2 linked regions of the Caenorhabditis elegans genome follow. The protein of the gene in region 2 interacts with the protein of the main gene of each other region in a pairwise test. Each region holds a gene or a part of one and is shown on either strand. Other genes may lie near its edges.

Region 1 (7,127 bases), on a different chromosome or scaffold from region 2:
TTCAAAAGATTGCAATTCTTATTTAAGGTTTGCACTGTTTTAAACTCTATGTAAAAACCTGATAATAATCATGTCTCGGCAAATATCAGAAAACATTTTTTTAAAGAATTTTTGGATATAACATGTAACTTGAAAAATGGTTTTGTTTCTAAAATACATTTATTCTCAAATAAATTAGTTGACAGTTAATGACAAAAAATCGATTTTCAGAGAACACGCCGCAATGATTGAAATTTATTATGAACAAATGAGCTATGAGATATTGAGAGAATCTGAGTCGTATTCTTGGTTCAACTTGATGGCCGATATGGGTGGCCAAGCTGGCTTGTTTTTAGGTGATTTTAAACAATTTGAGTAACTCGCAATTCAAAAAGTGAATTTTTCAGGCGCAAGCATTATGAGCGTGATTGAGTTTTTATTCTTCGCTGTCCGAACTCTTGGAATTGCATGTAAGCCAAGAAGATGGAGGCAGAAAACGGAATTATTACGAGCTGAAGAATTGAATGATGCGGAAAAAGGAGTATCCACAAATAATAATTGATTTTTGATCTCTGTGGAATTCAAATGTGAATAAACAGGTTTTTTTCAAACAGTCTACTCGGGCTCATAAAAAATCCACAAGAAGATACATTTTATTTTGATCAACTTTGACCGTAAAAAGTTGATATTCAAGAGAAAACATGGAAAGGTTGCTGTTGAATACACATAATGTTGAAGAGAAGATTTGTGTGGCCGGATTTCGAACTGGGATTCCAAATTTTGCTAAACGAAAATTATACAAACAAAGTAATTGAAGAATACAGGAAAATGAGAATGAGCTAAAAAACACAAAAACAGATAGAATGAAACGCACAGCTCCGTTGCTTAGTTTAGTTGAAAGTTTGTCAAGTGGAGAACTCTGTAAAATTTATTTTCAGTCCCGTTATCCACTTTCACGTCAAATCAGTAGTGCCATGAATCCTTCCGACCAACGTCATAAAGATTGATGATGTACCAACTATGCTAGTTAGTAGTTATTACACCAACATAGTTGATACATTCAATTTCTACGTTACAACATCTTGACAGGTTTTCCCTCGAGAATGGCCTGTGAGCCTGTAGAGAGAAGTGAACCTGTAGAGTACACAGACAACATAACTGCCCAGGAAAAAAAGGAAAAAACTATCAAGATGTTTTCGCCACATTTGAATGATTAATTATTAAAAAACCACGAATTCATGAGAATGCCTATTTTCTGAAAAAAAAAAGCGGCAACGAGATATCATTCAAAAATGTAAGATTTAGGTGCCTTCGCTACGAGATATTCGCGCGCCAGAACGGTATGCATTCTCATGATCAGGTGGTTTTTTAATAAGTGTTAATGATTCAGTAACAAATGAGTGAATAAGTAAAATATTTTTTTTAGTTCCTATTCAGTATCAGGGCCGGGGTTTACTCCGAAACAGCTATGCCTATGTTATTCTTGTAACATCGTTTTCAGGACTAAAAGTCTGGTTTGTATGCAAGTTTACCATTCTTCACATTAGTTCAACTCACTCTTTCTTGTCAACTTTCTTATTGTATTTTGATTTCTTGCCAATGCCCGAACAGCAGCCGTAACCGGGGTTTTTGAGAGTTCTAAAACATGATGTGCATTATAAAAAATACTTCCGTTGTCAACTTACGAAGCTTTGTGTGGGCTTTGTGAAGAATCTGCGCACGAGACTATAATGATTGAAGGTCTGAAATTTTAATGACAATGGCGGTTGAACTCAGAACTTAAATTGAATTTCATGAATGTCAAAAATAATAATTTGTTTTCAATTAATATTTATTGTAAACTCACGGAGTATATTGTTCCAATTTTTCCCATGGATTGTTTTTGTTGAATTGCATTTTTTGATCAATCTCAATGGGGACAGAAGGGTTGGAACTACTGGAGTATCATAATATTCGTAAGAAATTTCATTTTAAAAAAACTTACCCGCTTGAACTTTCAAAGGAACTTTCAGTTTCTGGATGTTCCTCATTTTCTATTGCAGCATGATCTAGAGACTGTCCAATATTTTCTTGCATGACATTCAAATGTATTTCTTGATGAAAGTCATTGATGTCACGGAGTAGATTTCTCTCGGCGAGGATTCGGATCGTTTCCTGCACAATTGTACTGATTGGTGCCTCCAATTGTGAAACTTTGCCGCTGACAACTCCAGTTTCTGTCGAAGGTGGCAATGGGTGATTCAGTGATACATCTATTGATTTGTTATTTGTTTCATCGTGAAGATTAGTAACGCTAAGAAGAATTGGTTCATCGTTGTTCGAAAAGTTTTCAGCAGTAGCGGTATCATGTTCAGCAAGTATTGTATTTTCAACTTCAGTAACTGATTTTGCAGCAGAAACTATAACGTCGGGCTCTGAGCGTTTAGAAGATTGTTCCGGTACAGTACAAAAAATATTGAATTCAGCAGGCCCTGTCTCATTCGGGCTCTCATTCTCGGCGACATCTGCGATCAAGCATTGCGATGATTTCATTTTCTCCGATTGGTTCCTTGTTTGACAATTTGTGAGCGTTGAATTATATTTTCCATAAGCGTCACCTTCATTCTTTTTAGTTTGTGGTTGAATTAAAGATTCTTCGGCATCTTCGTAAGCCGAGTTGAACGAGTCAGTAGATTGTATTGAGAGGGAGGGAGCAAGTACCATAGGAATTTCAACAACATTCGAAAGTTGTTGAGCGTTGCATCCATCAATATCTGAACGAGAGATGAATTTAAAAACAGAAAAAAATTGTATCGGACTCTTGTTACCTTTTGTTTTCAGAACACAAACTGTTTCATTTCCATGAGATATGACAATTTTAAGCTCAGTCTTGTTAGGAGACAGCGGTAATTCGGAAACGACACCTGATGAGGAGGATGAAGATGATGCATTATTGTTTGGCAAATGCTGTCTGGATACTTGATTTGAACGGTTTTGGTTATGGCCATGTTGGTTTTTCCTGTCGTTTCTCCGGAAATTGCTAGTCTAAATAACTCAATTCAAAAATGAAATAAATCAATATTGATACCTTGGAGTTACGGTTGTTTCCTCGGCAATTATGTTTTCTGTATTGAGAAGTAATGTCCGGTGGGAATAAAAACGGAGTCAAATGCTGTAAAGATGATTAAGATTTTCATGAAATTTTTTTTTTTGACACTAGTTAAAATTTAAATAAAATTATATTTCACTTAGGTAGTTTTGTTACGATCTCAAGGAGAGATGAACAATGAACGTATTGATTATTTTTTTACGGAAAGGGCAAAATTACATTTGAAACAGAGGTGGCGGCAATTGTCGTTTGGCAATCGAATTTTCGCCAATTTCGGCAGTTTTGGCAATTGCCGCAATTGCCGATTGCCGAAAATGTTGAAAACCGGCAATTGTCGGAATTACCGATTGCCGGAAGCCAGAATTGCCGGGAACATAAATTTAATACGTTTTGTAAATTTTTGAGTCTAAACATGCATTTAAAAGAAGATGTTTTCTTTTCAAGCTTAAAATGTTTAAATCCTGAAAGTTTTGGCCGTTATCTATTAGAAAATGACTAACCAAATACTAACAAGGTGATTTTTTTTTTCATTTTTTGAGTTATAATTATGTTTGAAAATTGCCGAAAATGTCCGGCAATCAGCAATTTCGGCAATTTTCGGAATCCCCGATTGCCGAAATATTTGAAAACCGACAATCGCCAAAATTGCCAAAATATTTGAAAACTGACAATTGCCAAAATTGCCGATTGCAGGAAAATTCCGATTTTTTTTAAGTGAGCATCAGCTTTCGAGTTTTCTGAGTCAACCTTTTATATTTTTCATTCCGACCTATTTTTTTTATTACAATAACTTCCAAAATCACTACTTTTTTACTGAACGTATTCAATTTAATTGTAAAACATTAAACTTCTTTCTTACATCCAAATAATTCAGGTCCTTCAGGTTCGGCGAGCTTTGAGCATTTGGAGTCCTTGGTTGGTACTGATAAGGAGGAGATACACAACACAACTTGTTCATTTGGTATTGATTACATGGCTGAATAAATTTTCCGTCCATGGTCTGATTATGGTAGGTTTAAAAAATGTGGAATGCCACGTAATTGTTCTCAATTGAAATTCTGATTTTTACCTGACTTTGTAAAGCATATTGCTCGGAATTGTAGTATTTTTGATGTGGCAGTTGTGCTGGGTGATTTTGGTTTGCATATTGGTAGCTTGTAAAATTCTGTAACATTTTAATTTCGAAATGTGTCAATAAAAGTCCGAACCTGAACATTCCAATTATTGGGTGGTTGAGATGGGTATGGGGCTGATGAAAATGTAGAATAATCCTGAATTCAAACATGAAACAACATTTAAATTTATAATTATCTGGTTTAAATTACCTGCACCACGGGAGCACCTTGAAAATACACTAAAGGATTTTGAGTTTCCGGAATCCACGAACTTTGGGGATACATCGGTTGCGAGAAAAACGCCGGGTTCGCTGGAGGGAATGTGTAGTATGTAGTCATCTGTGGAGCAAAACGTTCATACTTGGCAGGAAGCTGGAAATCCACTCAAAATATTATAAATTAAAAATTTTTAAATTTTTGGGTGAGGATGAACCAATGATATTCTGTATCTCCATGTGAGCACAGCAAAATACTCTTTCATTTTCATTGCACGCATTTTCATTAAGTCCCTTAATTTTTTTTTTTGCATAACTTGAAAATCGAGCATTAATCAACAAAAGCAACTGGTGTTATTCATGTTTTAGTGTGAGTGGAGATTTTGAAAAAAAAACACCGGCCAGTGCTCGTGCCGGTGCGGTACGAGGAAGAACATCTGTCACAAAATTAAGGACAGTGGTAAACATTCATCCCCACTAAACTGGCAAAAACAAAAAATGCTCGCAAGACCATGTCTCATATTTTTTCCATTTACTTTAAAACAAGCACAGTTTATATCTCTCAAAAGATTGAAAAAAAACATACCCGCGTTTCTGGACTTTTAATCGTTGACTGTGGATCTCCTTTGAATTCTTCATTTAAACCGTATTGTGGGGTCTGAGTTGGGTTCACAAAGCTTATTCTGTTAGAATTGGCTTCCATCGTTTGAGATTTAAATATGATCAATCTGAGATATATTTTTATGGCCCACCAGTGAATAAAAGGATATATGAAAAAAAAATAGAAGAATTGTAACATAGCACATACTTTAGTGACTAAATCTAGGTACACACTGTTAAAAATTTTCAAACATTATATTAGCATTCTATCAGTTTTGCACACTTCTGCATGTGTTCGAGGCTATCTAAATTATTCACAGCTTTTTTCAGACTTTTATAAAATTTCGTGTGATTAAAATTTTGCCAAGACTTGAGTCTCTACGTAAAATGTCAGTTTTGTAAATGAGAACAAGCTTTTGTATCGCATTGTTTCGTCGCTTTTTTTATACTAAAGTTCAAAATTTAGCTCACGCGTTGCCTATAATAAATTGACGCCTTTCCAAAGAATAGCAAAAAATAAAATCGAGAGAACGGAAAGGAGGAGACATCAAGATCCACAACTGAAAAAAAATGAGCATAAGACATTTGACTGTAGAAAAGAGAGCACAGAGAAGCTATGGCGCAGACAGAAAAGAGGCGGAGTTTTGAAAGATCATATGTAAGCGCATACATTTCCGAAAAGAGGGCTAACGAATATTCTTGTTCAACAACAAACCTTAAAAGCATTCATTTGCCATATGGTACAATTTTGAAATAGCTTTATGGCAACAAAGCAAAAGTCAAAAAAAAAGAGATTAAAGATGTATTTGATGAGATAGAACTGTTCAACTTTTTTTCAAGTATTAAGCTAAACGTGCAGCGGATTTATTTTTTTAAATTACTCATTTCAAGCTTCACGGGCTGCCCATAATATAAACTATTATAAAATCAATTTTTGAACAAGTTTACCTGTTATATATATTAGATGTAGATCAAAATCGTGAAACATTCTGAGATGTAATGAAATTTAATTTTTCACGAGAAACCAGATTCTAACATTTTGATACATTCAAAATGTTATCCAAAATCTCCAAGATGACAGGATAATTTATACATCACAAGGATTTGAACTAGAATTTTAGAATTCAGACTTTTGCAAATTTCTAAAATTGCTTCTTTGAAGTTACAAAACAGTTCCGTTTTCCTCAGGTTGCCAGTTTTTCAAAAACAAAAATATTGCAAAATTTACTGCAATTCAAAAAAAAATAGTACGTCGAGTGAAAAACTTTACATTGTTAAAATTACAGTGCATAAGAAAATATGACAGTTTGGTAATATAAACAGGCATGGCACACAATAAATTGTGCGGATAATTCAATTTAAAATTTTTGTAAGAATAGGGGCATTTTAAAACGGAAGTCGGTGATTTTTAACTCAATTAAAAATCTATATAAAGAATTGTAAAACAATTGACGCAAATTCAAAGTGTTGTAACCTTAAAACAATCAGAAGCATAATTAGTTTTGGTAATATGCAGCAAAACTGAACAAGCATACACTCAATTATGCATCATTTGAACTTTAGGATTTTGCAACTAGAAAAGAATAAAGTAAGATGATGTATTTTGAAACAAAAATACAAACTTCTAGCTCGAAGTTTAAAAATACCTTTGATTGAATGTTAGTGTGGAAATTTTTTGAAACAAAGTTAGGCACTTTGATACAAAACTACAAGAGAAAATTGAAGTTTCAATAAAATTTGTTAATTCCATTTTATACATTGAAATGTTATGTCGTCTTGATGGTGACTAGAAGAAAAGCCAACAGAGACATGTCGGAAGTTAATGGTTTTAGGGAAAACAAAACAATGTCAATTTGTGAAAACGTTCCGCGTACATCTTTTGTTGGGAAAAAACTTCACAAAAAAACAAATGCTGTCTATTATGAGAATTTGAATTTTTAAAATTAAAAATCCAGAGGTCTCTTTCTTTCTAATTGTCTAGTAATTGTAAATAGAAAGACGTCAAAACCAGAGAAAGTCAACATGAGTTTTATGTGAGTGATAATATTGGCATTTTGTTGTACTCTCCTTCTCAGTTTGAACATATTCCCACGATACAATAAATGGCTTTTGTCGTTCGATTCATAGTCA
Region 2 (5,027 bases):
GTAGAACACTATCAGATTCATTCAGTGTTAAAAAGAATTACTGGAGCACCTATTGCTTTGAAGATGGAGAGGTTTTTAATAAAAAAATAGGCCACAATGAGCTGTAGAATTCAGAAAGTCTACTCTTCTATTATCTGCACCAAGTTCCCCTCAATCCTTGTCCATCTCACTGTCGCTAGCAGTTCCAGAAATGGAATTCATCTACAAAACAGGGTTTTGGGAGTTACTCAAATGGTTTTGGATACAATATCTGGCATCATTTACAATTGTTGATTACGTTTTTACCTCATGTACTTCGTATATGTTTAGAAATCGTGTATTTTATGTCAACGATGTTGTTCGTTAAGCTTTAATGAACAAACACATCAAATTGAACACAACAAGATGTAATTCATATAAATAACTCTAAAAGAGTCTTATGTTTCCAAAATATTTCTAGGCAACTTGGTTCAGAATCGGGCTGGCAGGCGGGTATTGCGTTCCCACCTCGCCGTGCGATGTAATCACAGAAGATCATCGCCCGAACTCATCATATTCAGTTGCAGATCAGAGATTGACCCATACTGAAGACTGGAGAAAGGGTGAAAGTGTGCTGAGGCAACAAAACGGCGCGGCCGACACTCTTCAGGTTCCGCCGTCAACTAAGTTTTGTGTGTGCCGCTAAACGAGAGTGCGTGTGAGACGAAGAGGCGCAGAATGAGGTATCTGTGCAGTGGAAAGGAACACCCTCTCTTTTTGACATTTCCGGCTACAATTGATGATTTTTTTCAAATATAATAACAAGTCCAAGTTTTAATAAATCATTCTTCATTCAAAATATGTTCTCATCTTATACAAGTTAAAAAGAAGTGAAGAAAACATCAGTATAAATGGTTGAAACACAATTTTACACATATCAGAAAAGTGAGCATCATTTGTGGAACTTGATAACTGATTAAAAATAAAATGCCAGCAGTTCGGGGAGTGGATTGGAACAGGGATCGTACCAGTATCGTCTGTGAGTGGAAAATTTTTTTGAAAAGCCTCAAATGTCCAGATAAACTCGTTGAAGACAGGAAAGGTTTTGCAAATTTTTCACAAAATCATAAATGAAAACTTTAAGAAAGAACTAAACATTAACAGGCAATATGAAGAGACCAGATCAATTGAAAGATTGAAAAATGTGATACACTCACATGAATCTAAACTTGTAATTGTTTTGTTTAAAAGATAAACTAATGTTTTCAGTAGACATTGAATAATTACAATAAAAATTAAGATATTTGAGGCATCCACGAGGAAAATGGCATTGTATTTTGTTGACGATCATTTTTCTCTTTCTGTGCCCGAAGTCTTGGATCTGATACGGCATTCCCTCCAGCGCCCAGCAATGAGCTGAAAGCATCAAACTGTTTGGCGATTGCTTTGGCTCTTCTTGGATCATTGGCAGCTATACGATCAGGGTTCTCAACATTTGAGTACGGAAGTCGCCTTTGAACACGAACTAGTCCCCAAGTGACTTGCACTGTTTGTGGTATGACTGCTACACGATTCGATGATCCAAACATGCTGGAATAGTTGGACGGAGGAGGCGAGGCTGGAGAATCGTCGACCACGTTGTTCCGAGGACTTGATATGAGCTTTTCGCCATTGGCCATCTTGTTAAGCATTGCCTGAAAAATAAATATTGTTAAATGAAAGCTTTCTCAATATTCTTACCTCTAAATTGAATCCTTGTGGTGATGCAGTATGTCGTTCTTGAGAGACTATTTGCGGTGGCTGAACTAATCCAGGCTGCTGAAGATGTGGATGTTGAATTGGAACTGGATGCATAGGCCTCATTAGTTGTGGTTGCTGTTGATGCATTATAGGAGGAGTTTGAGTACTCAGCCTAGGTGGCTCAATTGTTCGTGGCGGTGGAAGTCCTTGAACTTGTTCGGGCCGTGGCCCTTGATTGAAATATCCTCCAGCTGCTGGAGCAACAGGGTATTGCTGATGTATTGGAATTCCTGGTCCAGGGTTTCGTTGAATGGTTGGCACAACAACTGCTGGTGGTGGAAGTTGACTTGGATGAGATGCTTGAGGGATCGGAGCATGTATCACAGGCGTTGCGTGGGGTGGAGATGAACCATTCATATTAGGGCCTGAACATTTTTGAATAATTATTATGGAAAAGTGATTTCGATTTTCTGCTTACCTCCAGGGAGGAGAACTCTCCTTCTTGGCATTACTTGTGCAGCTGCAGCGGCAGCAGCAGCATTTGCCACTGGATTCTGTCTGTATGTTTGAGCCTGCTGCGCTTGATGAGCCTGCCGGGCTTCTTCGTCTGCTAGAATCTTCTCAATGATTGGTCGGGTATAGTCCGTCAGGGGAACGTGAGAAAATCTACATGGATCATGGTTGCATTGTCCTTTGTGGAAGGATTTGCATGGGAATTCTCCATGGAGCATAAGACATTGTAGACCCTGAACAAGAATTAGTATTTTAAAATGAAAAGTTGGTTTTTTTTTCTGAAACTAACCTTTTTACAAAAACTATTAGCATAAAAGTTGCACAGAACAGGCCGTCTCAGTGAATCTTCGGCTTGGTGAGAGTACAAACAATTGTCACCGTCTCTACAATAACCTTCTCGGAAAAACTTGCAGATCTGATGTTCTGTTTGAAATCTTGGCTTCGCTCCATTCCGGAAGCCACCCCGGAATCCTCCTCGTCCTCCATAGTATGGCCGTTTTGATCTCGGGTCAAAGTCTCCGTCGTCGTGGGAAGGGGATAAGCGTCTCCGCCGATTTACACGATAATCAGTATCACTGAATGGTTCTTCTTCTGACGAAGCTGCTGCTCCGCTACGATAGTCTTTATCTCCACCGAAATAATCTGAAAATTATTAAATTTCTCCTTTTCAGCACTCGAAAATTATTCCCATTTATTAATGCGTCAATAAAAAACAAGAGAGGTTACACTCTAAATTTCGTAGAATAAACAGTTGCCGGGATAATTATCGGATCGGATAAATTTAATTCACAAATCAGACGTTAGACTTTCAAAAAATTCAGAGAAACATTTACCATTTCCATCCGGAGCATCATTGTGAGATCCAAACGGATCCGGATCTCGCTCTCTCGGAGGACTATTCCCTTCAAACCGCCTGACTCGTTCTCGTGAATCCCGACCACTTGTTTTCTCAGGATGTGCTGGAGCAATATGAGCACCTGGAGCTGATTCTGATGATTTGGAGGGCACTGCTTTTACAGATTCATCTTCATCATCACATATTTCACCGTCCTCAGGAAGTTCACCATCTTCGAAATCGTCTTTATTTTCATTTTGAGATATGATGTCCGTCATGATCTAGAATAATTGTAATGATTGGATTTATACCCGGTTTTACGGATTTTCATAATAAAAAGTTAAAGCGGTGTTCACTTCTCAAGCTCTAATAAAAAGCAAGAAAAGAAATAAAAAGATAATGAAAATTCATGTTTTCCTCCGTGATTCCCTTTTCCGGATCTTTGTGATTATTTACATATTTCAGTTCGTTCTCTCAATTTTCAAGTCACAGTTGCAGTGGGAGGAGCATTCTCATGTTGTCTACGATAGAAACGGCATGAGCGCCCATTGGTCGCGCAGACTCCGCCCATAATGTAGGAAATTTGAACAGAGTTTTGGGATGAATTTTTTCTCGAATTAAAAATCAACTATTTCGAAAAGCTTTAAAACATAAAAATGTATAGCTTCTTGGAATCTTGAACGTTGGAATTTCAGTCTAGAATGCTCAAATCTGGAACTCAAACAAACCGTCTTTTCATATCAATAACTTCAGTTTTTCAGTTGCTTTTAAATTCTTCGAACTATTTCAGATCAATGTTGATCTTTCAAACTCGTTAAAATTCAATTAACCAATTTTTCGTCATTTTTTCTCCAATTATGCTTAACTTTTTGTTACCATTTGGAAACTATTCTTGTATGTTAGAAAAAGGATTGATGATGACGAAAACCACAGAAAGAATGTATACAGCAAGCGCGTTGTCATACTGCTGCTATTCGCTCAAGTGACTATCGCAACCCGTCAAAATCGACCACGAGGGAGAAGGGAAGAGTGGAAAGAGAGGCCCCCGTCATTTCTCTCTCTCAGCGCAAACAACTCTACTAATCGGCAGCGTCTCTTCAGTTTACACACTCTAACATTGAATATCGATCAAGGGAAATGGGCTTACGAATACGAATTTCGTTACGAAACACGTTTTGGGCTAGGCGCGTTACAAGGAAAATAATATCTAAAGAAATTGAACGTAGCGTGGCAAATTTAACAAAAACTGGAAATAGCTAGACTAATTCACCTAAAATTAGCAAATTTTTTCGAAACAATCGAATTTGACACTAGATTAAATTTCCAACGTTCATTTTTCCGAGCGATTACCAGCTTTATTGAGCTTTGAATATTTATCAAATACCTCCAATTTTCAGAATATTTCAGAGTATAATTTCTTCAAATTCTCTTCACCTTCTCTGCAATTAATTTTCAAGGGATTGCACACGTTTTTCTGGCTTTTACATAAGCTTTCGCCCAGTCGGATCATTTAATTTTACTCCCATATTCTTTTTCGCCAAATTCACCTAAAATGTTTGTTAGAAGTTTGTGCCACAAAAAAGAAACAGAAAATGAGTATATGAATTCTCCGGAGTGCCGTCGTGGCGGACACCAGCATTAATGTTTTCGAAAATCACACGAGACGACTTGCAAGCGAAGCAAACCGCGCGTCTGAAGACCGTGACGCAGCCGCTCCGCAGTGTAAAACCAGTCAGAGACGCAGACATTGCTCTCATGTCCCGGTGGGACAGAGGAGTACGGTAACACTCGTTTCACGTGTGTTATTTTTACTTTATTTTTTTCCAAATTGCCAACTGTTCGATTTTTCAAGCTTCTGAACAATTTAAGAATAAATAAATCGAATCAGGGAAAATCGATTTTTACAGAAAATCACGACGGGTTAAGTCCATGAGTTTTCATGACGATTCACACATCTTATCACAGCTTGGAAGTGAGTTTC

Evidence for each region.
Region 1: the proteins of T26A8.4 (region 2) and E02H4.2 interact in a two-hybrid assay, tested with the Caenorhabditis elegans proteins (one large-scale study listed by BioGRID).

The regions. Positions count from the first base shown.
Region 1 is NC_003284.9:14,276,500-14,283,626, forward strand, and holds E02H4.2 (MIF4G domain-containing protein), read right to left. Parts: upstream 5,128-7,127; 5' UTR 5,101-5,127; coding exon 4,984-5,100; intron 4,555-4,983; coding exon 4,393-4,554; intron 4,339-4,392; coding exon 4,276-4,338; intron 4,233-4,275; coding exon 4,137-4,232; intron 4,044-4,136; coding exon 3,927-4,043; intron 3,131-3,926; coding exon 3,047-3,130; intron 3,004-3,046; coding exon 2,787-3,003; intron 2,733-2,786; coding exon 1,964-2,732; intron 1,916-1,963; coding exon 1,826-1,915; intron 1,722-1,825; coding exon 1,665-1,721; intron 1,618-1,664; coding exon 1,537-1,617; intron 899-1,536; coding exon 865-898; 3' UTR 623-864; downstream 1-622. Other genes in the region: Degenerin del-1, read left to right, coding at 1-27, 211-335, 387-541.
Region 2 is NC_003282.8:8,428,167-8,433,193, forward strand, and holds T26A8.4 (C3H1-type domain-containing protein), read right to left. Parts: upstream 3,328-5,027; 5' UTR 3,325-3,327; coding exon 3,045-3,324; intron 2,854-3,044; coding exon 2,501-2,853; intron 2,445-2,500; coding exon 2,177-2,444; intron 2,124-2,176; coding exon 1,699-2,123; intron 1,653-1,698; coding exon 1,254-1,652; 3' UTR 795-1,253; downstream 1-794. Other genes in the region: tmem-231 (Transmembrane protein 231), read left to right, coding at 1-71, 115-346; pdtf-1 (Permeability-Determining Transcription Factor), read left to right, coding at 4,976-5,018.